Linked DNA regions of Canis lupus familiaris. The protein of the gene in region 7 interacts with the protein of the main gene of each other region in a pairwise test. Links are inferred from orthologs where the notes say so. Each region holds a gene or a part of one and is shown on either strand. Other genes may lie near its edges. The genes, in order: TAF13, ODF1, PLSCR4, GTPBP10, CDKL3, CDK5R1 and MTUS2.

What was found.
Region 1: the proteins of MTUS2 (region 7) and TAF13 interact in binary tests that used the Homo sapiens proteins (3 or more experiments, as listed by UniProt). The two-hybrid records come from large-scale screens. The link is inferred for Canis lupus familiaris from reciprocal best matches to the Homo sapiens genes MTUS2 and TAF13.
Region 2: the proteins of MTUS2 (region 7) and ODF1 interact in binary tests that used the Homo sapiens proteins (3 or more experiments, as listed by UniProt). The two-hybrid records come from large-scale screens. The link is inferred for Canis lupus familiaris from reciprocal best matches to the Homo sapiens genes MTUS2 and ODF1.
Region 3: the proteins of MTUS2 (region 7) and PLSCR4 interact in binary tests that used the Homo sapiens proteins (3 or more experiments, as listed by UniProt). The two-hybrid records come from large-scale screens. The link is inferred for Canis lupus familiaris from reciprocal best matches to the Homo sapiens genes MTUS2 and PLSCR4.
Region 4: the proteins of MTUS2 (region 7) and GTPBP10 interact in binary tests that used the Homo sapiens proteins (3 or more experiments, as listed by UniProt). The two-hybrid records come from large-scale screens. The link is inferred for Canis lupus familiaris from reciprocal best matches to the Homo sapiens genes MTUS2 and GTPBP10.
Region 5: the proteins of MTUS2 (region 7) and CDKL3 interact in binary tests that used the Homo sapiens proteins (3 or more experiments, as listed by UniProt). The two-hybrid records come from large-scale screens. The link is inferred for Canis lupus familiaris from reciprocal best matches to the Homo sapiens genes MTUS2 and CDKL3.
Region 6: the proteins of MTUS2 (region 7) and CDK5R1 interact in binary tests that used the Homo sapiens proteins (3 or more experiments, as listed by UniProt). The two-hybrid records come from large-scale screens. The link is inferred for Canis lupus familiaris from reciprocal best matches to the Homo sapiens genes MTUS2 and CDK5R1.

What each region holds. Positions count from the first base shown.
Region 1 is NC_049227.1:43,177,262-43,179,996, forward strand, and holds the end of TAF13 (transcription initiation factor TFIID subunit 13), read left to right. Parts: intron 1-1,779; coding exon 1,780-1,950; 3' UTR 1,951-2,235; downstream 2,236-2,735. UniProt on the Homo sapiens protein: The TFIID basal transcription factor complex plays a major role in the initiation of RNA polymerase II (Pol II)-dependent transcription.
Region 2 is NC_049234.1:4,268,204-4,272,470, forward strand, and holds the start of ODF1 (outer dense fiber protein 1), read left to right. Parts: upstream 1-1,467; 5' UTR 1,468-1,607; coding exon 1,608-1,924; intron 1,925-4,267.
Region 3 is NC_049244.1:41,959,168-41,962,667, reverse strand, and holds part of PLSCR4 (phospholipid scramblase 4), read left to right. Parts: intron 1-65; 5' UTR 66-86; coding exon 87-93; intron 94-1,161; coding exon 1,162-1,272; intron 1,273-3,500. UniProt on the Homo sapiens protein: Catalyzes metal ion-induced ATP-independent rapid bidirectional and non-specific movement of phospholipids (lipid scrambling or lipid flip-flop) between the inner and outer leaflet of the plasma membrane and participates in the redistribution of phospholipids between membrane leaflets.
Region 4 is NC_049235.1:16,228,224-16,231,723, forward strand, and holds part of GTPBP10 (GTP-binding protein 10), read left to right. Parts: intron 1-516; coding exon 517-661; intron 662-3,500. UniProt on the Homo sapiens protein: May be involved in the ribosome maturation process. Complements an ObgE(CgtA) function in E.coli ribosome maturation. Plays a role of GTPase in vitro. When missing, disorganization of the nucleolar architecture is observed.
Region 5 is NC_049232.1:22,530,554-22,534,820, reverse strand, and holds the start of CDKL3 (cyclin-dependent kinase-like 3), read left to right. Parts: upstream 1-1,467; 5' UTR 1,468-1,589; intron 1,590-2,203; exon of another isoform or gene 2,204-2,379; coding exon of another isoform or gene 2,380-2,434; intron 2,435-3,317; coding exon of another isoform or gene 3,318-3,910; intron 3,911-3,954; coding exon of another isoform or gene 3,955-3,993; intron 3,994-4,041; 5' UTR 4,042-4,058; coding exon 4,059-4,223; intron 4,224-4,267. Other genes in the region: UBE2B (ubiquitin-conjugating enzyme E2 B), read right to left, coding at 970-1,013; uncharacterized protein LOC119876780, read right to left, coding at 2,380-2,434, 3,318-3,910, 3,955-3,993.
Region 6 is NC_049230.1:40,470,969-40,475,055, reverse strand, and holds the start of CDK5R1 (cyclin-dependent kinase 5 activator 1), read left to right. Parts: upstream 1-1,287; 5' UTR 1,288-1,355; coding exon 1,356-2,279; 3' UTR 2,280-4,043; intron 4,044-4,087. UniProt on the Homo sapiens protein: p35 is a neuron specific activator of CDK5. The complex p35/CDK5 is required for neurite outgrowth and cortical lamination. Involved in dendritic spine morphogenesis by mediating the EFNA1-EPHA4 signaling. Activator of TPKII.
Region 7 is NC_049246.1:11,012,810-11,016,943, reverse strand, and holds the start of MTUS2 (microtubule-associated tumor suppressor candidate 2), read left to right. Parts: upstream 1-1,334; 5' UTR 1,335-1,566; intron 1,567-4,134. UniProt on the Homo sapiens protein: Binds microtubules. Together with MAPRE1 may target the microtubule depolymerase KIF2C to the plus-end of microtubules. May regulate the dynamics of microtubules at their growing distal tip.

The DNA.
Region 1 (2,735 bases), on a different chromosome or scaffold from region 7:
AAGTTGTTTTCTAATATATTTAACCATATCTCTCTTATATAAATCATTTGCAGATTATTTTTCATTGAGTAGGTAATTTTGAATGATCATATTCATGAAATGTCCTCCCATCTCCTTGTATATACTTACAGGGATGGGGATACTGAGTTTGGTTGTGTTCCTTGACTTTTTCTATTTATTTATTTTTCTTTTTCTTTTTTTTTCTTTTTTTATTTTTTGTTCCTTGACTTTCTACCTTGTATTATATTATAGATTATTTCTGCATCGGGCTCCCCTCAGGGAGCCTGCTTCTCCGTCTGCCTGTGTCTCTGCCCCTCTCTCTCTCTAATAAATAAGTGAAATCTTAAAAAAAAAAAAGATTATTTCATTAGTACAGAATAATAGAAGTAAAATTCCTGTGAATATTCCAGAATATGCATTTTTAAAAATTATTTTCCATTTATAAAAATAATATTAAGTTTAGGCGATATTAAAAGGTTCAGGAAAGAAAATAGAAATCTGCAATCCTTCCACCTAGAAACGACTTATGCTGAGATTTTGCTGAATATTTTCTTGTTTTTTTTTTTTTTTTTTTTTTAAAGATTTTATTTATTCATGAGAGAGAGAGAGAGGGGCAGAGACACAGGCAGAGGGAGAAGCAAGCTCCATGCAGGGAGCCCGATGTGGGACTCGATCTCGGGTCTCCAGGATCACGCCCTAGGCTGAAGGCAGGCACTCAACTGCTGAACCACCCAGGCTGCCCTTCTTGAGTTTTTTTGCACGTATTTTTAAACTTTATTAAATTGAAATCATATAGTATATTTAGTCTTAGAGCTTGCTTTTTCAATTAGATAAGTAGAACTCTGACCCCCAGGTCGTTGCATAACACTGTAATATTTTTAATGGCTTCTTAATATTGACTGGATATGCCCAAATTTTTTTATTTAATGCCTTATTAAATACTTAGTTTCCCCTTTTTTAGTCATTAGAAATAATGCTATGATGAACCTTTGTTTTTGCACAGGATGAATATGTGATATGAGATGAGATTTATTTGAATTTGAGAAGACCTACCACTATTTATCAGGTACTGAGACAGAAAGCTTTAATGAAATGTGCAGTTAAAAAGAAATTACAGAATTATTTTATATAAATAACATAAAACAATAACAAAAAACAAAAAAGAAACCAATAATTTGGGCAGCCCGGGTGGCTCAGTGGTTTAGCGCCTGCCTTCAGCCCAGAGCATGATCCTGGAGACTCGGGATCGAGTCCCGCATTGGGTTCCCTGTGTGGAGCCTGCTTCTCCCTCTGCCTGTTGTCTCTCTCTCTCTTTGTGTCTCTCATGAATAAATAAATAAAATCTTAAAAAAAAAAAATCACGGGATCCCTGGGTGGCACAGCGGTTTGGCGCCTGCCTTTGGCCCAGGGCGTGATCCTGGAGACCCGGTATCGAATCCCACGTCGGGCTCCCTGGTGCCTGGAGCCTGCTCTCCCTCTGCCTATGTCTCTGCCTCTCTCTTTCTCTGTGTGACTATCATAAATAAAAATTTTAAAAAAATCAATAAATTTGATAGCTTTTATATCCTTAGTATTGTAAGATGTTTATAAACCATTAAGAGAAATGTTGCTGTAATACAGTAGAAAGTGGATAAACGACATGAATAGAAAGACAATTTACAAATGAATAGCTATAAAAATTAGAAGAGAAAATCTTCAGGTTCACCAATATTAAATAATTGGAAATTAAAAGAGTAAAATACTAGATTTGTTTTAAGTTAATTTATTTCTTTGTAATAGACTCACAAGGCAATGTCAATTGGAAGACAAGGTCGGGTACAAGTCGAAGATATCGTCTTCTTGATTCGAAAGGACCCAAGGAAGTTTGCTAGGGTTAAAGACTTGCTTACTATGAATGAAGAATTGAAACGAGCTAGAAAAGCTTTTGATGAAGCAAATTATGGGTCTTGACACTTTCTGTATTTTCTGAAGCTTCATTATTTTCTGGGGAAACCGTGTATAATAATTGTATATTTTCCACAGTAAGGTCCCAGTATCTATCCATGTATATCCAAGATGGAGAAACAAAGTTTTCAGCTTTTATTTTCAGATCTTCAATTTTAGAGTGAAATTTGAGCCTTGAATTGCCTGCCCTTATATGACTATACTTGAATTACTTGTTGGGTTTTAATGACCACATGTAAGTTGAAATACCTTGCAAACCATGCAGTTCCTTCTGACTTTGACCGTCTAAATGATGAAGTAGTATTTATGTGTTGAGTGTATTTGTGCCATTGTAGGCTATACAATAGCTGTTTAATATATGAAATCTAAAGGGCACCTTTGATTATGATTGCTAAGATGTTTCATGTATTCTAAAGTTTTTAGACTACAGAAGTCTAAGAAATTATTAAGAGAGTGAACTGGTTTGCATTTTTTTTTAAAGGAGAAGGTAATACAAGAAAATAATAGTGTTTTGGAGGAATGTTTATCGGTCTTAAGATACTTGTTTTTTAATATTCTTTAGATTACAAGAATGATTTTTTTGTTTGTTTTTTTAAATGAAAAGTTTCATGTGAATTCTTCCGTATTGGAAGGCTTTGATTTAAAACCTTTTGGACTTAATAATGAACTAGTTGTCAAGTTTTAAGAGAACTCATTTTCCTAGGTCAGATTAAAACTTCTGTAAATAAATACTTTCAGTAGTAGAAATGGTGTTGCTTAAAAAGCTGATGGCAGGATAAGCATTTGAGATA
Region 2 (4,267 bases), on a different chromosome or scaffold from region 7:
ATTTCTAAGCAGAGAGAACAGTGTGCAGACAAGTCTTGAATGAGGTGAAATGAGTAAGACTTTGAGAAAGGCCATTGTGACTAAAAAATAATGAACTACAGGAATAACGATGGGGGAGGAGAGAGAGAGAGGGAGACAGAGGCCCTATTGTTCAGCACCTTATAAGGATTTGGGCCCTTTTTCTAAGAGGACAGAGAAGGGTGGGTGGTATTAGGTGGGGGATAACAGATTTATATATGAAAATCACTCTGGCTGAGAGGTGGAGAATAGATAGGATGGGTCTGAGTGGATGTGAGAGGAAGGGGACACCACTGGGTTTCTTCTAGCCATCCCTATAGTCATCTAATCTAGACTTGGCTGCCCCTGCTTTTCAAAAGGCACCTCTCTTGTTGTCCCCTTTACCATGCTGGGGGATGTATACAGCTATCAGACTTACCTTTCAACTTCTCTCAGCAGAAAAGAAAATTAGTCATTCTTCATTATGCTAAAAATAAAGGTCAGCCTGCTTAGATGGCCCACAAGTCCCTTCAAAACCGGTCCTGTCTCCTTCTCCAGTGCTACATCCACCTGCTTGCCCTCAAGTACCCTATGCTGTCCTCCATGAAAAGGGGACTTGAGAGCTGGGTAGCAGGTTGAAGGGACTGGCCCAAGGAATAGAAGTACCCAAACCAAGGCTGAGGTTGAGCCCATGGCCCAGCATACTGACTGATCCAGCTGGGAGCACAGGAAACTGGCCCAAGTGAGGTTTTTGGGTAGTTGGCTTTAAGCCACTTCAGACAGTTGGCTGTCCCAGTACTAAGGGGTAACACCTGAGAAGCACTTGGAGACAGGGCATCTAGAGGCTTGGATGAAAGACTGGAGGAGAAATCGCTGGGAGGTGGTGACCGACAGGAGCCTGAGTCCTGGGGAGCAGGACTCCAGGGACTGGAGCTTCAGGATAGCAGGGTGCCAGATAGCAGAGAATGCGCAGGACTCAGAGACTCAGGGCCACAAGGCCAAGGACCAAGTCTGCCTTGAGAATGACATGGTCAGAAGAACCACAGGAAAGCTCTGTAAAGCAAGCAAGCTTTCCATATACGGACGAGATGGCAGCATGACTCCTAGAGTATGAGGGGGTGAAGCTAAGTGTCAAGTGAAGGCTAGAGGTACAAGGGCACAGAGAAAGGAGCCAGGGCCTCTACCATCCCCTACACTGAGATCTTAGTGGCTGTAACCAGGCGCGCGCGCACACACACACACACACACACACACACTCAAGCCAAGGACATGGACAGTGATAGCCATGAGCCCCAGAGAGCTGGGATTGCTTGAGGGCCCCACCCCATGTCAAGGAGAATGAAATCTCAACATTAGTATGGTTCTGGGAGTAGCTCTGTAACTCTAGGGAGGGTCTCTGGAGAGCACGGCTGTGCATAGTTCACATGGTAACCAGAAGACTATGACATACTTAGAGGGTGGTGAGGTCACAGAACTCAAGCTTTAAAGTAACTGAATCATGCGTGCCTCATTTATTTTTAAAAGAAACTTCTGAGAAGAGCTTAGAATAATTTTTTCCCCCCGAGTGCCATTTCCCAAAGGTACTCACAAAACAATAAGGTGTGACTGTAATGGCTGCACTGAGTTGTCTTCTGGACAGTGTTAGAAGGGACATAAAGAAGGTGGACCGAGAACTGAGGCAGTTGAGATGCATTGACGAATGTACACGGTGTCTGTGCGACCTGTACATGCACCCGTACTGCTGCTGCGACCTGCACCCCTACCCCTACTGCCTGTGCTACTCGAAGCGAGCGCGCTCCTGCGGCCTGTGTGATCTCTACCCGTGCTGCCTGTGCGACGTCAAGCTCTACTGTCTGCGACCATCTCTCAGAAGTTTGGAGAGGAAAGCCATTAGAGCCATAGAAGATGAAAAGAGAGAGCTTGCCAAGTAAAAGGACTTTTTAAGATTTTTTATAAGTCGGTGTATTAAACCTTGGGAGTTGAAGGCGGGGGAGGGGAGGTAACAGCTGATACTTGAACAATGATGATGACAAGGGTTCAAAAGAATGACTCTGGTGACTTAGCAAAGATGTAAGAAAAGAAGAGTAGACGGGTCCATGATGGGAATTGTGAGATTCTCAAAAGACAATGTAATGATGTCGATTGGCAAGGTTGTTGTGGGTTTATAGCAGGAGTGCCAACATGATAGATAATGTGGCTTTAATGAGGGAAAGAAATAGGAGGTGTCATTAAAAAGCTATTGAAAGGAGCAAACTAAACATTTTTTCTGGTTATGAGTAAAGTGATTTGAGGATATTTGGGCTTACAGAAACGACTACAGGAGAAGCAATAACCATTGATCAAATCCTTAATGTTCGCCAGAGGCTTTAAGAGCAGGGGAGCAAATTGAACAACAGAGGCGTTTCCTCGGTTTTGTAGGAAAACCCTTCTCCCATTCCCCAACTCCAGGCAGCCTTAAAATCCATCTGGAGTAGGGACGGTCCTGTTGACTGCCTCCTCCAGGAGTGGCAAAGGTTGTACGTATGAACTATAGAACCGAGGACTTTCAGAACAGAGTTGAGAGGGTTTTAACTGAATTGGGTAATTTTCAAAGCTACTTTTTACTATTTTGTTTGATTACATTTCCTTTTATGGCCTGGAGAAAGCTTTCTATTTCTAACTTTCCACTGTATGCCATCTAGTCTGGTATAATTGATATAAACAGTTGCTGAAAGCACTGTACTCTAGTTAAATAAATTTATTTATTATAATAAATAAATAAACTACACTGGGATACTAGGTAGATGTAACGCAGAACGATGAAGCATTTTATGTGTTGCTGTATTGAATGAAAGAGGCAAGAAAAGCTACTTAATATGCTACTACTTTTAAAAAGATGGGGGCACAAATGGATGATAGACCTTTTGATCCAAACATACTTGACATATAACACTGTAATTTAAGGTGTATAGTATGTTTGATACATCTATATATTATGATGATGCCATTGAAGCGATAATTAGCATCTCTATCATGTTCCATAATTATCATCCCTTACCAAGTCTGATGATCATAATATAATATTGTTGTCTATATTCACTATACTGTGCATTAGATCTCTGGGACTTATTTACTACTCATTGCAAGTTTCTATCCTTAACATCCTTCCTATTCTCATGGTAGATTAATAGATTAGAGAGGTAGGTAAGTAGGTAAGTGGATGTATGGGTGGGTGGATGGGTGGCTGGGTGGCTGGGTGGATGGGAGATACAGACACTTGATAACAGTGACTGGGATATTCCACCAGAAAGGGCAATAGAGCAACTGTTGTCCAAGTCATCAGTCACCAAAGGTCAGGAACAAACCCCTCTCAATAGTTTGGAATGGGGCTATAGCCTATAAACTCATCTACATTCAATTTTAAAGTTTTTATTTTTACTCCTTAGAGGATCAAGTTATGTAAGTTTTGCACACTGTGAGTCAGGGATTTTTAAATTGGTCTATAGGAAGGGTTACTTGTGAGCAGGCCTGTCTCCACCATCCCTGTGCCTCTGAATCCTTGAAAACACTTGATCCAATCCCTTCCAGCCTTTGTCTCCTGCCTGTCCCTTTTCTCCAGACTCTCCAGAAAGAGTGCCTCTCTGTTTCTCACCCTGTGGGCACCCTCCACCAGCTCTAAGAGTCCCTATTTCTTGGCATGCAGTAGACACAACCTCAAGCTTAATTCTCAGCAGTGTGGTTTATATAAGACAGAATGCTTTCTATGGGTTGTGATATTTTTCCCAACAATGCCTGGATTTTTGCTGATTTTTTTTCTGTGCCTGAGGCAGTATATAAAGTTGGTGATGTCTTTACATGAATTCTCCAGTCTCTGAACTGATAACTGAGTCCATTCTAGATATGACTTCAGGCTTACCGTCCTGTGTCTCCTTCCAGCCACTTTCTTCCCATTCATACTACCTTGTGAAACCCTCCTCTGCTCTATTTCTGACAGTCTGACGTTTGACTATCCAGGAGGGCTTAGTGTCACCTGCAAACCTAAATATTCAATTTTCCTGACCATGGATGAAAACATTAAATCCTGATCTAGCCCCAGTCCCAGAGGACTCCTACTGTTAATATTTTTTCTTCCAATGAAATGCTGCTTCTTCCTTATCTCTCACCTAGCTCCCAAGCCCTGACTAAATAGATCCAGAAATATCATGTTGATTCAATTTTTTAAGACAATCTTTGGTGTGAAACCTTGCTCAAGGCTTTGTGAGTTTAGAAATCACATTCACATGACCTTCTA
Region 3 (3,500 bases), on a different chromosome or scaffold from region 7:
CTCTGTGTCTCTTGTGAATAAATAAAATCATAAATAAATAAATAAATAAATGTTTCATTTTTCAGGACTAAGTGGAATTCTTCAAAATGTCAGGTAAGATTTTATGAATAAATTTTAATATACTTTATTCTCAAATATGGATTATGTGATATTTTCCTTAAAAATTGGAATTTATTTCCTTGAAATTTTCTATTATTGTTTAGCATTTGGAGAATGCATCTTTTATATACATATGAACATTTCTATCTATCTTTGACAGAAAAGGATTTAAATGGATTTATATTGGCACATATGTACTGAAAGATCTCTAAAGTATGTGGGGAAAATTAAGTAAAGGACAAAGTAAGAAATTAAGTCTGCAAAAAGAAGCAGTAATAACAAGCCTGTGATGACAGCCTGCCCATATAGAGAAAGGCTCAGAATCAGGTCCTGCATTTTCAAGCAAATGCAGGAGACAATGGAAGGAGAGAGATACCACATTTATGGGATTTGTGTATTTCATGAGATAAAAACCAGTCAGTTAAGAGAATAAGAATTTTACCTTGTAGTGAATCCAGGCAGACATTTCTCTGATTGCAACAAGGGCACAAGATAGCATCATGGAAAGTGAGTTCACTCACCTTTCACCAAGGTCACTTTCACTGGAGAGGTATATTAAACCACCTCTAACTGAGTTGTGTGTGGCACTGCTGTGTTTTAAGGCATTACGTATTTATCATGTGATGTTTTGAATTTATTAAAACACAGTTATTTTCCAAAAAGGATTGGGGAAAAAATAAGATTCACTCTATATATTACTGTATTCTCCATATTAGGTAGTGAAGAAAAGAATTTTTGCTAATGTGTCAGGAGTTCATGTAGGTAGGCATCAGCATGAAGTGAGCTGAACCACTAGCATGAAAGTGTGTTGCTTTGGTCAGAGCACAATATGAATAATTGCTTCATTTTTTTTTTTAAATCTATATTCAGCCTGAAAATTCATCAGTTCGGGTTAATACAGGTTATTACAGGTTAATATGTAATTTACATAATGAATTATGTGTCTTTTAAAAATATGAGTATATTTCATATTATTTACTTTCACTGATAAGAAAAATGAACATATTCTCTTATCACGTTATCACTTCCATTGTAACTCATGTCCCCTCTACTTCTCCCAAGGTGTGGTCCCCGCAGCCCCTGAGCAACCTACAGATGAAGTAGAGAATCAAGTAAAGTCTCCTGATCCAAGGCCTGATGCACCTCCTGACTACAATTCCCATTTAGTACTAGGTGGGTTAAATAACCAGAAAGATTATTTTCACCTCTCCAAAAAACCATACTAATAGTTAAGATTGCTTTTAAAAGTAATTAAGTAATTAGGGCAGCCCCGGTGGCTTAGCGGTTTAGTGCCGCCTTCAGCCCGGGGTGTGATCCTGGAAACCTGGGATCGAGTCCCACATCAGGCTCCCTGCATGGAGCCTGCTTCTCCCTCTGCCTGTGTCTCTGCCTCTCTCTCTCTCTCTCTCTCTCTCTCTCTGTCATGAATAAATAAATCTTTAAAAATAAATAAATAAAAGTAATTAAGTAATTGAATGATTCAATAAATAAGTATTCTTATATATTTATGTAAGTATATCATGCCTCCAAAGTGCCAAGTAGTTTACGGGATGTCCATTAGAATACATTTGTAGGCACCTGAGGAAGGAATTTGTATAAAACACTGATGGTAATCTCTCTACTCTGTTATGAAAATATGAAGAAGATGTTCTAAGGCCAAGATGACAGTAACTGATTTTAGCAGGGATTAACAGAAGACGTAACTGAGGAAGTCAGATTTTTCTGGCTTGATAAGGAGTTTCTCATTCAAAGAAAAGGAAGGACTTCTTTCTGGCAGAAAGAACTATATGTACAAAAGCACAAGGTCATGAAAGTTTGGTATGAGACATGCAATGGACAAATGCAAGAGAAATGAGGGTGAATGGCCTTGAGTGCTGATTAAGGAATTATATAAATAATTTTGTAAGTCTGAATGCACTTCTGGTGGTGACTCAGTGAAATAGATACTCATAATGCTAGTGGTATTTGAGTTATTGTAGTCTTTTTAGAAAGTAATTGGCAATGTGTGAAATTTTTAAAATTAGAAATGTACTTACTTTTGAAGTAAGTAAGGAATTAATTAGGATTGTATACAAATACATTTTAATGATTTAGAAAATGATAAAGTATAGCAGTGTTTCTCTAAATGTATATTTAAGTGTACATTTAGAAGTATAAACCATTGAGTTAGTCTGTGAAAGAAGAGAAGAAACCCCAGGACCCACAGGATAATGGTTTTGGCCCTACCCATAATATCTGTGGGTATTTACCCAAAGGATACCAATATAGTGATCCGAAAGGGCACCTGCACCCCAATGTTTATAGCAGCAGTGTCCACAATAGCCAAATATGGATAGAGATGTCCATTAACAGATGAATGGGTAAAGAAGATACGGAATATATATAGTGGAATATTACTCAGCTATCTTATGCTAAATGAAATAAGTCTATCAGAGAAAGATAATTATATGATTTCACTCATGTGGAATTTAAAAAACAAAACAGGGTCATAGGGGAAGAGAAGGAAAAATAAAATAAGGTAAAATCAGAGAGAGAGACAAACCATAAAAGACCCTTAACTATCGGAAACTGAGGGTTGCTGGAAAGGAGGTGGGGGGGGGGGGGGGTTTGGGGTAACTGGGTGATGGGCATTTAATTAATGGGGGCACTTGATGAAATGAGCACTGAATATTGTATGCAACTGATTAATCATTAAATTCTACCTCTGAAACTAATAATACTCTATATATTAATTAATTGAATTTAAATAAAATAATCATTGGTAACTATGTACTTAAAAAAAAAGAGAGAGACCAGGGGGCTCAGTTAACTTCTGCTTTCTCAGTGTTTTCTGAAAACAGCAGGGCTTCCTTTTCACCTTTCCCTTGTACGTATGCATATCTGCTCCGATATAACCCCTCATTACTGGCTCAACTCCTGCTAAATCCAAGGTCTTGACAGTCCTAAATTATAATCATACTATATCTGACCATTTCTCCAAATTTACTTCACTGACTGTCAACATGATCTAACTTATATTCATAGATCACTATATCCAAGAACCTAGATTCGTGTAGAACAAAGGCTCTCTCATTTCCAAGTAACATTGGTTATAAGTCATGTACTGTTCGTTTGGGAAAGTGTGTATTCCTCTCTGTATCAAAAAATTAGCCAGAGCATCAGATATATCATGCAAATCAAATGACTAGATAAGTTGAAAAACATGGTGCAGAACATAGAACTGAATTTTCAGTTATGAAATTAACAAAAATTCACTGTGACCGCCACCTAGTGGCTGAACTCTGTACTTATTTATGATGACTGATGCAAAATATGGCCCTGTAATTCACAGGAAGGAACTTGAAATACTATAGAAGTATTCGGCTTTAATTAATTTCTTTAAATTCCATTATTTAATTTCT
Region 4 (3,500 bases), on a different chromosome or scaffold from region 7:
ATTCCAAGGTTGTGAAAAATGTGCATATTTTCTAAAATTGTTTGGAAACTGTGGGGAATAGCTCCTCTTCAATGTCAGAATTTTTAAAAAACTATTTTAACTGCTAATTTATAAGAGATATTTAAAACTTTATATAAAAGTTGTTTAGGGGGCATCTGGATGGCTCAGTTGGTTGTGCATCCAACTCTTGACTTCAGCTCGGGTCATGATCTCAGGGTGGTGGGATCCAGCCCTGAGTCAAGCTCCTCACTCAGCAGGAGTCAGCTTGGGATTCTCCATCTCCCTTTGTCCCTCCCCTGCTAGTGCATGCACATGTGCTCTCTCTCTACTAATAAATAAATCTTTTTTAAAAATTTTTCAAAATTAACTGCTAGATATAAGATTATTATAAACATACAGCTCTTTGGATTTATAAATTGGAATTTTTTTGGCATCTATTTCTAAATGAAAAATGTCATTAATGATTAGCTACACTTAGTAATCTTCATTCTAAGTATCTTTCTCTGTCTTTTTAAGGAGAACTCAATAAAGAGCAAGACAGAATTTTGGTAGCTGAAGGAGGTCTTGGTGGTAAATTACTTACAAATTTCTTACCACTGAAAGGCCAGAAACGAGTCATTCGCCTTGATCTAAAACTTATAGCTGATATAGGCCTAGTGGGGTAAGTAACATTTGTATTTTTATTTTTATAATTTCAGAGAGATAGTTCATGAGTAGGAGATAAATGTAAATGGTAATTTGGGACCAGTATTATTTATGGAATAAATTTATGGAATTTGTGCATTGTTTGTATTGAGAATGCTGCTAAATACAGTTATTTTAATATTGCAAACATAGAGTTTCACAGTTAATATTTATTTGTAAAAGGAAGATAATGGCAATTGAGTAGGCTAGTGGGAATGATAGACAATGAATCAAGAAAGAAAAATCAATCAAATGCAGTAGTATAAGAAGGTAAAAAGAATATTACCAGATATTTAAAAATAAAATTTAAAATCCAAACCACATTTTATGAAGTGTATGGAAGGAAGTAAAAAGAGAAAAAATGAAATCTTCTTACAAGTCTTAATTAATAGAGGTATTGCTATCTTGTTGATCAGATGGCTAATGGCCAATACAGATAGTCTCAACCATCAGACTTAGACACTGTTGGAGCACCAAGTTGGATCTCGATATGACTGTTTCCTTGTCCTTCATGATCTGCTTAGGTCCATTCTCAGTACTGCAGACCCCACAATGTTATCCTCTTTTACAGGCTTCCATTGTTTCATAGAACAGTGTTGGTATCCCTGGGTGGCGCAGCGGTTTAGCACCTGCCTTTGGCCCAGGGCGTGATCCTGGAGACCCGGGATCGAATACCACGTCGGGCTCCCGGTGCATGGAGCCTGCTTTTCCCTCTGCCTGTGTCTTTGCTTCTCTCTCTCTCTCTGTGACTATCATAAAAAAAAAATAAAAAAATAAAATAAAAAAATCATAGAACAGTGTTGTTTAGCTGTAGAGTTTGCAGTGCTGGCACCTGACTGAGGGAGATAGAGAGCAAAATAGAAAATAGGTAAAGGAAGGGAAGGCTTCAGCTTTGCATTTCTTCTCTCCCTGTCTGCCTGGCCCCACTTCAGCATTACACAGTAGTCAGAACACCTAAGAAAAAGGTAGGGAATACTGCTTTTTTGCTGGTTCTATTTCAAACTTTCAGTTCCACTCTTCACCTCACATAGCTTCTAATTCATCTTCTCTAGGCATCTCACTGCTTTATTTACCAGAGTCATCAGTCTGAATCCGTCACCTCTTGCCATGCCTGTCTAGCTACTAAGTCTTAACAGCAGTGCCCTAGAATTCATAAAGGTCCCATTCTTGCTAAAGTTATAATACAGAAAGATGTGATCCTGGTGTTCAGGTTTGCCATTTGCATTTAGTTTTTTCCGTATAGTTATGAGGCATAGTTTCTGTAACACATATTTTTCACAATGTGGGTTTAGTAGGTTTTTATGAACAAGACTGAGAATCTAGCCATTCGCAGTCTCATTTGTTACGAAAATGTGTTTCAGATTCTGTAAACACTTTTACAGACTAAAGAGCCTCACAAGACTAAGTAATAAAGGTGGGATGAGGATGGGGAACTCAAGTGAGTGACTATTTGGGTTAGAGTTTCATATCCTCTGAAGGCCACCTGGAATGTCTTAAATAAGTTGTAGAATGTCTCTAAGCCTTTGTTTTCTCATTTTTAGTAGTGGCTGGAGATGGTAAAATGTAAGAAAACACATTTACAATACATTCCTTGGATTTATGAATGTTCAATGAATGAATGGTAGCTGTTACCATCATCATCATCACTACATTGTCAATGTATTGGAGAGTACATATAGTACTAAGCTTTTCAGAAGTGGTTTTGCTATTACAGTCAATAATTGAAGCATCGAGGGTTTTTTTTTAAAGCATCGAGTTTGTTAAGTACAATGCTTAACATGTATTTTAGTGTTTTTAAATTGGGCAACTATTCTTAAAAAGTTATTACTGTGAGTACCAGCGTAAGCAGATACCTGTTTGCTGGTTTCAGGAATGAACTGCATCTTAGAAGAAAGGTGTCCTATATACATATTTATTTGTACTGCTCTTCTCAAATCTGATCTTTGCATAGGTTGTGATATGGGAGAGCTTTGTTCTTGTCTCCTGGAGTCGAAAAATCAATCTCGCAGACTGTAACATAGCAAAGTGATAGAGGTTTATTAAGCAGAGATACAGAGAAAGCTCTCAAAAGCCAGAGGGGTTCTGACAGGGTTGCCCCTGAGGGCTTTTATAGTCTATCTTTTATAGGGAACTGGGGGGGGAGGGGACTTGGTAAATTTCCTGTCAATATCAGGGTGGATATTTAGAACAAACATGGTGGACTTGTAACATGATGTTTCTTTTTTTTTTAATAATAAATTTATTTTTTATTGATGTTCAATTTGCCAACATACAGAATAACACCCAGTGCTCATCCTGTCAAGTGCCCCCCGTCAGTGCCCGTCACCCATTTACCCCCACCCCCCGCCCTCCTCCCTTTCCACCACCCCTAGTTCGTTTCCCAGAGTTAGGAGTCTTTATGTTCTAGTCTCCCTTTCTAATATTTCCCACACATTTCTTCTCCCTTCCCTTATCAAACAAGATGTTTCTTTGTAAATATCATGAGCACAAACAAGGTGTTCCTTCTCTCTGGTTAATGTCTCCTCCATAATTCTCTACATCTGGGGTTTCTGTGAGCCTAGTAGCTATTAAAGGGGAATACTCCCTAACATTTTGGAACTAGGGAGCCAGGTTTATTTTTTTCTGTTTTTACTGTCTTACCTCTGTTTTCTTGGGATGGGTAGGAGCCTGATTCTGGGGCCTTTCTCTTATCTTTCCCTGACTAGCCCTGTCTGCCCCTAACTCATTCCTACATCAGTTGGATTTCAGTCTCTAAAATTTTTATTAAGTACTTTTCAGGTAAAATCTCAATTATCATTTCTTCAACCGTTAGCATC
Region 5 (4,267 bases), on a different chromosome or scaffold from region 7:
AAAACAATGGCTTCCAAATGCCTCACCTATGGCTTTATAATGGCGAAGTTAAAAGGTTGCTTCCTGGACAGCTAACCCAAGTTTCTATGAGCAGGTCTCCCCAAGAAAACAACAAAACCCCCACAAAACGTGCAGTGGATCGTAATGGTAAGTTTTCTTATTTTTATCGGCCTCCGTACTTCCAAGTATCCAAAGGTAAACTGAAAAAAAGGTCACTTCCTCCTTACTAACCCCAACACCTCCTAACAAAACCCTATTTTACAAAAGGAGGCCGAGCGAGTATCAGGTTAGCGCCAGTCTCAAGGAAGGCATTTTTCCAGACTTTGGAGGCTATAGATAGGGCTTTAGACACCAGGCCACAGAGCTGAGTTCCAGAAGGCCCTGGCAGCCCAGCCCGGGCTCCCAGCCCGAGTCCCAGCTCTCTAAGCCAGTTCTCAAGGTCCTTTCGGGCGGCGAGGGAGAGTCGGGTTTCCGAGGATGGGTTAATAACCCCCGGACCTCGCGCTGCAGACCCCACCCTCGCTGCAGAGAGAATGGGGGGGGGGGGGCGCTTTTCATCCCAACCCTGCCCCTCAGCTAAGACCGCAGAGCCATCCAGCAAAACTGGTGCAGCAAGCAGGGAATATGATTCTGCAAGGGTCTGCTTTGGGGGGACAGAGGAAGGGGAAATGAAGCTTGAGCTCTAGGACTAGACGTCGGGGGGCTGACCCAAGTGGGCAGCGGGGAACCCTAGGACAAACCATAGCCATCTTTTTACTTTTGGGGGAGGGGTACCGAAATTTCTTACGTCGGCAGAGTGAGCAAGGATGAAGGAGTGCGAACCGGGACTGGGGCTGGGCTTCCTTCGGGACCCCTGGGCCCAGAGGAGGCCCTCTTAGGGTTAGGAGAGGAAGGTGTCCCGGATCCCCGCCCTGCAGCCCCATAGCTGTGGGGAGGAGCCGTCATCCAGGCGGAGGTGAGCGCCCTTACCGCTTGAAATCCCGCATGAGCCTCCTCCGGGCCGGAGTCGACATGCTCCCCAGCTGCCCCGCGGTCAGTCTGAAAGAAAAGAGTCCCGCGCAGCCCCCCCACCCCCCGGCGCGGCGGCCGAATCACTGTGGGTCACCGCCGCCGCCGAGGCTGCACAAACAACCCTGCAATGACGTCTCCCTCCGCCGCCTCCAGATCCCTCCGCCCTCCGCCAGTACCACGGGGTGAGGGGGTTGGGGGAGAAGGGCACGGGGCGTCTAGACCCGTTTTGGGAGCTCTGCGGCAGGGCTCTACCAATTTTGGCTTCCTAATATAATAGATAAATTAGTCCTCTCTGTTCTCTGATTGGAGGTTGTGGATTAAGAGACCCCGAAACCGAAACACCATCCTATGCCTCCCCCTTTTAGTAGTTTAAGCTCGACCGGGTGGGGACAGAGAGCCGCATCCGGGGCCAGAGATTTCAGGGAAAGGAGGTGGGATGACGTAAGGTCACGTGACCGCCGGCGGCGTTGTCAACAATCCACCCCTGAGGGGGAGGGGACGAAGTATCTAGAACCACGTGTCCCTATGACGAGGTTGGAACGGATCACGTGAAAGTGTCGTCTGAATCTGAGTCTCAGGTCTATGGAGCGGGTAGTTAAGTTTATGGGGTTGAGGGCGGGTATGGGTCTTTAGTAAGTTTTCCCTCCAGTTTCATGAAAAGGGTCTGCGGTCGTGGCGGAAGCAAAAGCTTGTTTTGCTTAAGTTTTAAAAACAGCTAAAAGTAATACGGACTTAAAATCTTTTCTGGTTGATTCAGTGGCTTATCAAATCTGGTACCTGGGGCAGAGTGAGGGAACCTCTGTTTTTCATAATTAGCCCAGCATTGAAATGTTGAGGCCCACACCAACTAAAATTCCCCGAAATGCTTCCATGAGGCCACCAAAGAGCCTGTATGTGCATCACAATGGGGTTTGCAGGGTTGGAAATTCCGAAGACAAAAAAAAAATGGTATAGAGATTGTCTTAAGGTTTGTTGACTATCTCTATGGAATTACAGAATTTTATTTTAACATAAGCCTCCTCTCATTTGAGGATTGGTGTCAAAATGTGTCAAAGTCCATGACTGGCTAAGATAGGGTACATGGAGATGAGATCGCAAAGCATTTAGAAGGGTGGCTGGTTGTCAAGAAAGCCTAAAAACTTGGATGTGGGGAAGAGATTTTGCAGACGTGGGTGGGAGTTATATAGCTAACCTGGATAACTCATTTCAGGTTTCCTACACCAGCAAGTAAGGTGCAGATGGGTCTGAGATGTCCACCAGGTTGCTCAGAGGTGTTGAGTTCCCTCCTTCCATTGCCTTTGATTCCTGGCCTCAGGGCTTTGCTGGTCTGGAGGACTCTGAACACCTTATATCCTTCTGGGTAATTCTTCAGCCCAAGGCATAGTGGGAGCGTTGCACCAAGTTGCCCATAGTTTCCTGGAAACTGAAAGCGTTAATTTCCCTCACTTTCTTGCTGTCTCCTTTTCTCAAAACCCTGAATTCTATCTTTTGCTTTTATAACTTCATTGGTGATCAAGTAAGCCAAACCTAACTCTTGATAGGTTCTGCGATGCATCCACAAATGAAATTCTGAAAGTTAAAAGCTGAATATTCTCATCTTTTGCCTCCCACAGTAGCGATCCTAATTCTCACCATAGCTAAGGATGAAGACATACGGGTCAGTATGTATGCAGTAAAATGCCAAAGAAAATCTTCAAAAAATATCCCTATTGGATCATTAGGTAGCAATGTGTAATTGTTCTGGAATCTCACAGTGTATGGAGGCTGTCAGGCCAGCAGAACCCCATGTCTAGTTTTTAAGCAATTAGATAATGTTTATCCCCCTTTTGCTGTGTCCTTTTATGTCGATTTGTTTTCTCAAGGAGGGCGTTTCTAAAAAGGAGTACTACGAGTTCGAAAAATTTCTAAGCATATAGCAAGTGTTCAAGAAACATTAAGAACCGTCTTAACCCCGTCTTAAGGATGAATGCCGACCCCTGTGGTCGAACTCAGGTCTATGGAATATTAATATAAATAGGTAACTTAGACGACCGTAATTACACAAGACTTCCTTGGAAGACTTGTTTTACAATGTGTCTCTATTTCACGACTCAAGCCATCCTTTTAGGACCCAGCACCTGCGGCATGTTGTTCTTTGGCCTGGGAGCAAGCCTCCACCCTTCTCTAGGAGACAGACTCTCGGGGCAGTAAAATGTGGATCCTCCCCTCACCTCTGCTCAAAACTCAAAACCAACCTTGTGAGTTGGTCTCAACCCATATAATCCCCACCCCGACCCCCAGAAAGCTTTCCCTGAGCCTAAGCCCACCGGCAACTCATTTTCAACCCTTTATGATTTTCTCTTCCGGGTCGGGCCGGGCCGGGCCGGGCGGATGTTCCTGTCTTGCGCAGTAGGTCCCGAGCGCGGGGGGTCTGCGGCGCCGTTGCCATGGTAGCGGGCTGCCGGAAGCTAGCCGCGCTCGCCAGCTCGGAAGCCTCGGTGTCCGGTTGTTCAGCCGGGTCTGCGCGGAGCCAGGCCGGCGGGGCTACAGAATGGGCTGAGAAGTCGGCGGCTTGACCGGACGAGGTCGACTGCGGGGGAAGGGGCGCAGCGCAACACTGGTCCGGGACCATAAGACGTCGGGTTTGAGGAGCCGGTGGGGCTGAGGTTTTCTTGGGTCCGGGGGCCAGAGCTGTAGGTGACTTCCGCCTTTCGGAAACCGCGCTTTTGACGGGGGTATGGCAGGAGGTGTGCGGACCACGCTCCTGATGGACAGGTGGCACGTAGTGAGGGGCTCTGAAGCCTTCGTGTGGACGGGGATGCCTGAGGCAACAGGAAGCCCCCTCGTGGCTGTGAGGTGTGCAGCCCCACACAGACACCCTCCTGCCTCGTGGGCGGAGTTCCCCAAGACGTGCAACCGTCTGTGGAAAAAGAACAGTTTTCGCGTTCACAAATGTCAAAATACGGGTTTATTGTGGAGATGCATTGGCCAGCTTGTACGCATGAACGTACAAATGTCTAACTTTTTTTTTTTCCCTTTCTTTTTATGAAGAAGAATCGGGCTTGAAAATGGAGATGTATGAAACCCTCGGAAAAGTGGGAGAGGGAAGTTATGGAACAGTCATGAAGTGTAAACATAAGGATACTGGGCAGATAGTGGCCATTAAGATATTTTACGAGAAACCGGAGAAATCTGTCAACAAAATTGCAACAAGAGAAATAAAGTTTTTAAAGGTTTGCTTTTTTTACCTTCATTGGTGTAAGTCAAAAGAGGAATT
Region 6 (4,087 bases), on a different chromosome or scaffold from region 7:
CCCGGGGGACGAGGGTGTTAATGGGAAAAGGGGTCTCGGGAAACCCAGCCTCCGTGGATGGCTTCTCGCGCCGCAGCTGCGGCCCCGGCCCCGGCCCCGGCCCCGGCCCCAGCCCCAGCCCGGCGGGCCGCGCGTCGCCTGGGCGGGGACGCGGCCGAGAGCGCCCCCGCGGCCAGCGGCTGCGGGCGCCGCGGCGGGAACAAAGGCAGCACGTGTCTGGGCGGGGCGGCGGGCGGGTTCGGGCCTCGGTCCCGCCCCCGGCGCCCCCCCTTCCCCGGCCCCGCCGGAGCTCGGCTGCGCGGCGCGCCGGGGACTCACGCGGCCGGGCTGCTGCTGGCGCGGCGGCGCAGAGCGGGGCGGGGCCGGGAGTACCCGCCGCCGGCGTCCGAGTCCGGGTCCTAGATGGGGCGCGGCGACTAGAGGCGCTCGGGCCCTGGCCGCGTCCCTGCCCGCACCGCGCACGGCTGGCGCTGAGGACCGCGGCGGCCCCGACCCCGGCCCCCGGCCCCCGGCCCCCCGCCCCGCCGCCGGAGCAGGCCAGCCCCGGCCGTACGTGGGCCGCGCGCGCGCCCCCGACAGCGAGGCCGCCGAGGTGCGCGCCCGGGCGGGAGCGGGAGCGGGCGCGGGAGCGCGGCGGCGGCGCAGGCGGCGGGCGGCCGGCGGGGGGCGGGGCCGCAGCGCCTGCAGAACCTTGGACAGAAGCTCCGGAGCCGCCGCCGCCGCCGCCGCCGAGCGCGAGCCCCGCCGAGCCCCGCCGAGCGCCGGGACCGCGGGCCCGAGCCGCGGCGCGCATTGCGGAGGGAGGGCGCGGAGCGCCGGAGCCGCCGCCGCCTGCCCGGTAAGCCTGAGCCTCGCGGCCGCCCGCTGCCCCCCGAGGAGCCGGGGCCGGGGCCGGGGCCGGGGCCGGGGCCGGGGCCGCGCGCGGTGTGTCGAGGCGGGGGTCCCCGGCCGCTGCCGCCTCCGCCGCTGCCGCCGCCTCCGCCGCCGCCTCCACCTCCGCGGGCGCCGGGCCCCTCCCGCTGCGGTCGGGACGCAGCGGCCGCGGAGGCGGGCGGGGGTGCCGCAGTGGAGGCGGCCGGGCTGCGGCGCGGGGGCGCGAGGCCGGGGCCAGGGCCGCGGGGGCCGCCTCGGCCCGGGTGGCGGAGCGCGGCGCCGAGCCCCGCCTGGTGCTGAGAACCATCTTGTTTTCCACGCAGATCCGAGGGGGCCGCAGGCGCCCCCGGAGCGCCCCCGCCTCCCGCCTCCCGCCTCCCGCCTCCCGCCCCGGACCGCCGCGGGCCCGCTGAGCGCATCGCCTCCGGCCGGCAGGCTGGGCGCGCAGGGGCGCGGGCCCCCGCCCGGCGCGCAGCGGCACCATGGGCACGGTGCTGTCCCTGTCCCCCAGCTACCGCAAGGCCACGCTGTTTGAGGATGGCGCGGCCACGGTGGGCCACTACACGGCCGTGCAGAACAGCAAGAACGCCAAGGACAAGAACCTGAAGCGGCACTCCATCATCTCCGTGCTGCCGTGGAAGAGGATCGTGGCCGTGTCGGCCAAGAAGAAGAACTCCAAGAAGGTGCAGCCCAACAGCAGCTACCAGAACAACATCACGCACCTCAACAATGAGAACCTGAAGAAGTCGCTGTCGTGCGCCAACCTGTCCACGTTCGCCCAGCCCCCGCCGGCCCAGCCGCCCGCGCCCCCCGCCAGCCAGCTCTCGGGCTCCCAGACCGGGGTCTCCTCTTCTGTCAAGAAGGCCCCGCACCCGGCTCTCACCTCCGCGGGGACGCCCAAACGTGTCATCGTCCAGGCGTCCACCAGCGAGCTGCTGCGCTGCCTGGGCGAGTTTCTCTGCCGCCGGTGCTACCGCCTGAAGCACCTGTCCCCCACGGACCCTGTGCTCTGGCTGCGCAGCGTGGACCGCTCGCTGCTTCTGCAGGGCTGGCAGGACCAGGGCTTCATCACGCCGGCCAACGTGGTCTTCCTCTACATGCTCTGCAGGGATGTCATCTCCTCCGAGGTGGGCTCGGACCACGAGCTCCAGGCCATCCTGCTGACCTGCCTGTACCTCTCCTACTCCTACATGGGCAACGAGATCTCCTACCCGCTCAAGCCCTTCCTGGTGGAGAGCTGCAAGGAGGCCTTTTGGGACCGCTGCCTCTCCGTCATCAACCTCATGAGCTCCAAGATGCTGCAGATCAATGCCGACCCGCACTACTTCACACAGGTGTTCTCCGACCTGAAGAACGAGAGTGGTCAGGAGGACAAGAAGCGGCTCCTCCTGGGGCTCGATCGGTGAGCCCTGTAGCCCGCATCATGGCTCAAGGATTCAATTCATTTTTAAAAATTTATTATTAAGCAAATCAGATTTTGTGTACAGTATGTGTCTAGCAGAGCCACCGAGGGCCTCTTCCTTCCCACCTTCTCTCCTTGGGGTTTTCTTCAGCCCTGCCAAGAACTCTGGGCGCTTTTGAACTCCCGAACCTTGTGCAAAAACCCAGAAGATGTGTTCAGAGCCACCCAGGCCACTGACTTCTCAACTTTGGGGAATTTGAAGGACTGACCTGTCTCTGCCACCTGTGCCCTTGCTGGACCAGGGCAGGTGAGGCTGCCCGCCGCTCCTGGCATGGTAGCCAGAGAGGGGCCTCTGGCCAGTTGGCCCTGGGGAGCCATTGCTGTTGCCGGTTGGAGGGCCTTTCTTGGCTTTTGTTTTGGGTCATCCGTTCTCCCAGAGGCCTGTGGAGCTGGCCACCCTGACCGAGCCACGAATGGGGTTGTGAGGCGAGGTGCCCACCACCCTGGGACAACTCGTCGAGGAGAAGCTGGCCTGGTACAAAGATTGTGTCCTGTCGTTTGACCATGCACCACCCTGGTTTGCTCTTTTTTCTTTTATTAGGGAGAAGAGTTTTCCTTTAGTGAAGACATGGAACTTGCTCCCTGGCCTCCTTACCCCCTGCTCCCAGCCGTGTTGGTAGTGTCGGTTAATGAGCTGGTTTGACTCATTAAGTTCTTTGATTTGGGGTCCCAGCTAAAGGGGTGGGGTGAAGCTAGGGACAGCTCCTTTCCTGGGCGAATCTTTCCTTTGACTAATGCAGCTTACTCACCCTGTGGCGAAGGCCAGGGCGGCTGCAGGTGCCCCTCACCGACAGCCTGCCTTCTGGGCAGGTGGGGTCGTCGTGCCTGAAACCAGCCAGTGCTCACCTGAGGGCTAAGGCCTCTTGCTGGTGCATGACATTTGTTCCTGCAGAGCCGAGGTGATGTCGGGGACCAGAATGATGGGGTAATGATGTACACCCCCCGCCCCCGCCGTCCCCATCCCTGTTCATTTAAAGCTGTTTCCAAACAGTTCAGTTTCTTCTGAAGACGAAGCCTTGCCCTGCGAGGCCCAGTGAGACCACTGGATCTTGGAGACAATTCCAAGGCCGGAGTAGCGCTCCTCATGGCTTCGGAAGCCTGCCATTCTGCACCTGATCATTTGCAGCTGCCGATTTGGGTTTCCACCTTATCTTAGTGGCTGTGAAAAACACACGACATGTACTTAATCAATTTCCTTTTTGATTCTCCCAGATTGGTGGCTTGGGACTTGGGAGAGGACCAGGAGAAGGGAGCGAGTCTTCCTCTGTGGCCCATCACTCCAGCTTTGGGGAATAAAGGTCAATGTGAAGATGCCCTGGGGAAGTCTCCCTTCCAGTCCCAGGGAGGGGGGGTGGCGGGGGGCAGGCAGAGGGTCCTCTGACACAGGATAGGTTCTAGGTGGCTGCTGGTTTCAGCAGAAGCACTACTGAAATTCACACGAGAGAAAGCTGTGAAACCGGGGTCTTACTTTAAGAGGCCTGGAGCGGAGCTGCCGCTTCCCTGGGGAAGGGGAGGAGGGCCCGCGGGGGGCTGGGATGGCGATCCCTCGCCCCAGCTGCGCTGAGCCCTCCCTGGGCTGCCAAATAAGCTGAGGCGGAGCTGGAAGGAACCTCGGCTGCTGCCACAGACTTGGCCGCCACGCCTCTATCTCGGTGGGAGCTGTCACCCAGCCCGTCTGTTCAGATCCCGCTGCCACGTGTGACCTGAGGTAGGAGGCCCTTGGGGGGCAGCGGGGCCCAGAAGTGGGGAGGG
Region 7 (4,134 bases):
GCTGTGAAAACTGTCCTAGATTCTTCCAAAGGGGAAGGGAGAGCTGACAGAATGATTTCAAAAGACAGTGTGGAAAAAAGGTGCTACTTCGCGATCCCCGGTCACCAAGTCGTTCAGCTTGTTTAAAAAGCTAACTTGTATAGAACACTATAGGTAACATGGTAGTTTGGAAAAAGACACCCTTAAAAGAAAGAAAAGAAAAGAAAAGAAAAGAAAAGAAAAGAAAAGAAAAGAAAAGAAAAGAAAAGAAAAGAAAAGAAAAACAAGCCCTAAATGGCACAAGGGGCAACATCACGGTTTCATTTTTTTTAATAGTAAACATTTGTTCCACTGCGGCTGAGCCAGAGGAGGAAGTTCTCTGATCTCAGTTGCCTTTTCAAACCTTCCAGGTGCGTTCCTAGGGAAGCCGGGGGCAGTTCGGGTAGGGCTGGAAAGGTCTTGGAGAAGTCCATGCGTCTATTTATGAGAGTGGCCAAGCTCTCTGCAGGCCCGCAGTATCAGGCACAGAAGCACCGGCTTCTAGAAGGACACGCCTGCCTTTTCTGCAGCCATTACCAGAGATTAGCTTTGGGTCCTTGTGAATCAGGAATCCTACTGCCCCCCCCCCCCCGACCCCCCAAGTTTTTCCCACTTCGGATCCCAGATTCCTCCTGCTGCCCGGAATTCGAATCTTGTCTCTCTCTTCCGTCCCAAGAGGAAAAACAGCGGATCCCGTTCTCGGACGCCGCCTCGGTCCTACTCCGTCCTTCCCCGGGGCCGCGGGGACCCTCGCGGCCCCGCGCCCCCGCCCGCCCCCGCCCGCCCCCGCCGCCGCCGGCCCGGAGCCCAACGCGGCGCGCACGGAGGCCCCGCGGCCCGCAGAGGGCGCTGCGGCTCCCCGGCGGCGCGGCTGCGGTCGGCGGGGCCGGGGCCGGGAGGAGGCGCCCGGGCCCCGGCGTGTGCGTCTCGGGGCGGCCGGGAGGGGGTGCGCGCCTCTGCCGCCCCGCGCCGCCCTCCCGCGCCCGCCCGCTCGCCGCCCCGCGCTGTCCCCCCGCCCGCCCCCGCCCCCGCCAGCGCCGCGCGCTCCGAGCCTCGGGCTTCGCCGCCGCCCGCCCCGCCGCCCGTCTTTGTCCGGGAGAGGCGGCCGGAGCAGCGGTGGCCGCGGCGGCCGAGCCGGGCGTGCTGTCGGCGGGCGCCGGCCGCGGGCCCCGGGGGCCGGGAAGCGCCCGCCGCGGGGGCGGAGGCGGAGGCCTGGGCGGTGCCCGCGCGAGGTGCGTGCGGGGGCGGGGCGCGGGCGGGGGCGGGGCCGGGGCCGGGGCGACGGTGCGGGCGAGCGCGCTGCAGGTGCGGGGGCGTCCCCGGCCGCGCCGCCTCCGCGGGCCTCTGGGGCAAGTTTGCCGCGCCCCTCCCCGCGGCCGACCTCCGTGGCCCGCCCGCCGCGTCCGGACCTGTCGCTAAATAGAAAACTCGAGCTGGAAGAGGCGGCGGAGGGAGCGGAGGAGGCAGCGCGTCGGCCGCGGGCCGGGACGGAGCCCCGTTGAGGGCAGCGGCGGCCTCTTGGACGGCTGCCCCCGCTCTTCCCACCAGGTGAGCGAGTCGGGCCGGGGCCACGCCCGCCGGCAGGTGGCCGAGTCGGGGTGACGGCAGCCGGGCTCGGAGCCGCGCCGCGCCGCGTTTACCTGGCTTTTCTGTGCTCGCGGCACTTCTTCCTTCCTGCCCGCACCACCTGCTCGGGCTGAGGTCTGGCAGCTCATTTGGCGCCTTCGCTGCTGCCAGGTCAAGCGTCCTGTTTCGGGAGGGGGTAGGTGAGCGGACCCGAGTCCTTCCCTCCGCCTCCAGCTTCGGGTAATTTGTTCTGTGCCTTCGTCTTAATTTAGTATGAATGTGTTATTTCCTTTGAGCTTTAGGATGATAAAGCAGTGAAGCGGTTTGCTACATCCATTTTTTTCCCCTTCTCATTCTGAGCCTGTGCACAGAGGAATTTCAGGCACAGAAGTGATGTTACTACCGTTCTATTTTAAATACAAACATGGAAAGAAGTACTCTTGGCAGGGTACCAAAGGCGCCTGTACTCTCTGTTATATAAGTACTTCAAAAAATAGTTGCTCATTGGTAAAGTTATAATAGTGATTACCAGAGCACCTGAGGAGAAGGGTTGAAGAGAAGTCAAAACTATTTTCAACCCCAACTTTACTTGAAGAGAAGCATGGTCTTAGCTTGAGGGATCCTTTAAGATGATCTAGGGAGGGCGCGTCCTTTGAACTCATTAGACAGATTTGCAAAACATTAAAAAGTAAAAGAGGTTCTGTAAAGGCTATTGAGAAACTTCGTGAAAAATTTTGACTACTTATTGATAGAAATAAAAACAGAAGATCCCACAGATCTCTCTTATGGCTTTCAAACTACTGAATGATTTTCTTTTTATATCTGGTAGAGACTTAGTAATTTTGAGCTATCGGTTATTAAAGATCCCTCCTCACTAAAACTTCTTGTATCCATGGTTATTTTCTTTTCAGGTAAGAAGAAGACAAAAATAGAAAACGTCGGAAATTCTGATGTCTAGGCACCCCCTCTTGTGCCCCCACCTTAGTATTCCTATCTGTTTTTAATTTATATTATCATGGTTTGGGGCGATGCTGAGGCATTTGAAATGTTAAAAGCTCTCTTGCTGATTCTTGTGCAGCCAGGGCTGAGACCCATTGGGGAGCACTGCTCCTTTTAGTTTTATCACCTTTTAGCCCAACATGTGGCTTCAGTGGTGTAAGGTAAATAAAAAAAAAAAGTGGTTAAAATTTGGGGGAGGTTATGCCTAGATGGCTCAGTTAGTTAAGCATCTGCCTTTTCTCAGGTCATGATCTCGGGGTGTTGGAATTGAGCCCCACATCAGGTTCCCTGCCCAGCGGGGATTCTGCTTCTCCCTCTTTCTGCTCCTGCTCTCTCTCTCCATCTCCCTCAAATAAATAAAATCTTTTAAAAAATGGGAAAGAAAAACAGTATTGGGAAGATGTGTCGAAGAATTATAGTATGTGCACTTTTGTATTGTATCCAGAGGTCTTCCTTGATTATTTTTTAAGCCTGCAGAAGTCCTTGTTGTTTCTCAGAGACCCATAATTCCAAGTAAAATATGTAGAGGAGTCCTAAGTGGGACATTTCTTTGTGCCGAGGTAATAGTGAAGTTGAGTATAGTGTCAGGGTTTTGCTTCTGGGTGCACGAAAAGATAATCCAGCCTTATTAAAAAAATCTAATTAAAAACTTAATGTAGACTAGTAAATTAAGTGTGAAAAGCTTTTTATTATTTTTAAGGTTGGAAATAGACCTGGCTGCTGACTCAGGGTTTTCTGTCTACCTTATGTAATTTCAAATATTCAGCTCTTATGGGTGGTTTATGAAGGCTTATGTAAGAACTATGCTTTTTCATACTCTGTTCAACTCTGTGTTTTGGCTATTACATAATTGACACAGTACTAGATTGTTAGAGCCCAAATAGGGGAAGGATGCACAACCCCAGGCCGGCACATGGACTTTTATAATGAATTGTGGCTGCCAAATTAGAGGGAACGGCAGGGATGGAGGTTTGTGAAAGAGAGATAAGAATAGCATCTAGAGGATTGATGTAATAGAATGCTGTTAAGCTTAGCGGTTTTCTAGAGATTTTAATGCTGCGGTATAAACCGCTCTAGTCTTTTATTTCTCCCAGCAGAGGCGGATTTACTGGGAAGCTAATGAATCTTAAACTTCAGGGCCCCTCACACAGGTTTCTTCTGAGCCCCTGGAAAGCCACTAGCAATGAGTTCACATGGTCATACCTAATTTTGTGTTTGCATTTTAGATTTTTTAAAAATAAGGATGACACTCTCTCCACCCCCCTGCCTCCCATCATATAAATGTAATGCTCTGCAAACTTGGAATCTCTTCTGGCTCTCAATTATTTTTGAATGTTAAGTTAACTTGTAAAAATGCTTTTTCTCCTTTTAACATCCCCAGTCTTCTGAAAAGACAAAATTTGAAATCTGGCCAATGGTGTAGTTGACCTACTGAAAAAGAGCAAAGTGCTATAACCTAGGGCTGTGTGGAGCTACTGAGATCAGGTGGTTACCTGGAGAACCAACTCTTTGCCTTGTGATTTTGCACAAATGGGGCTTTTTTTGGACCTG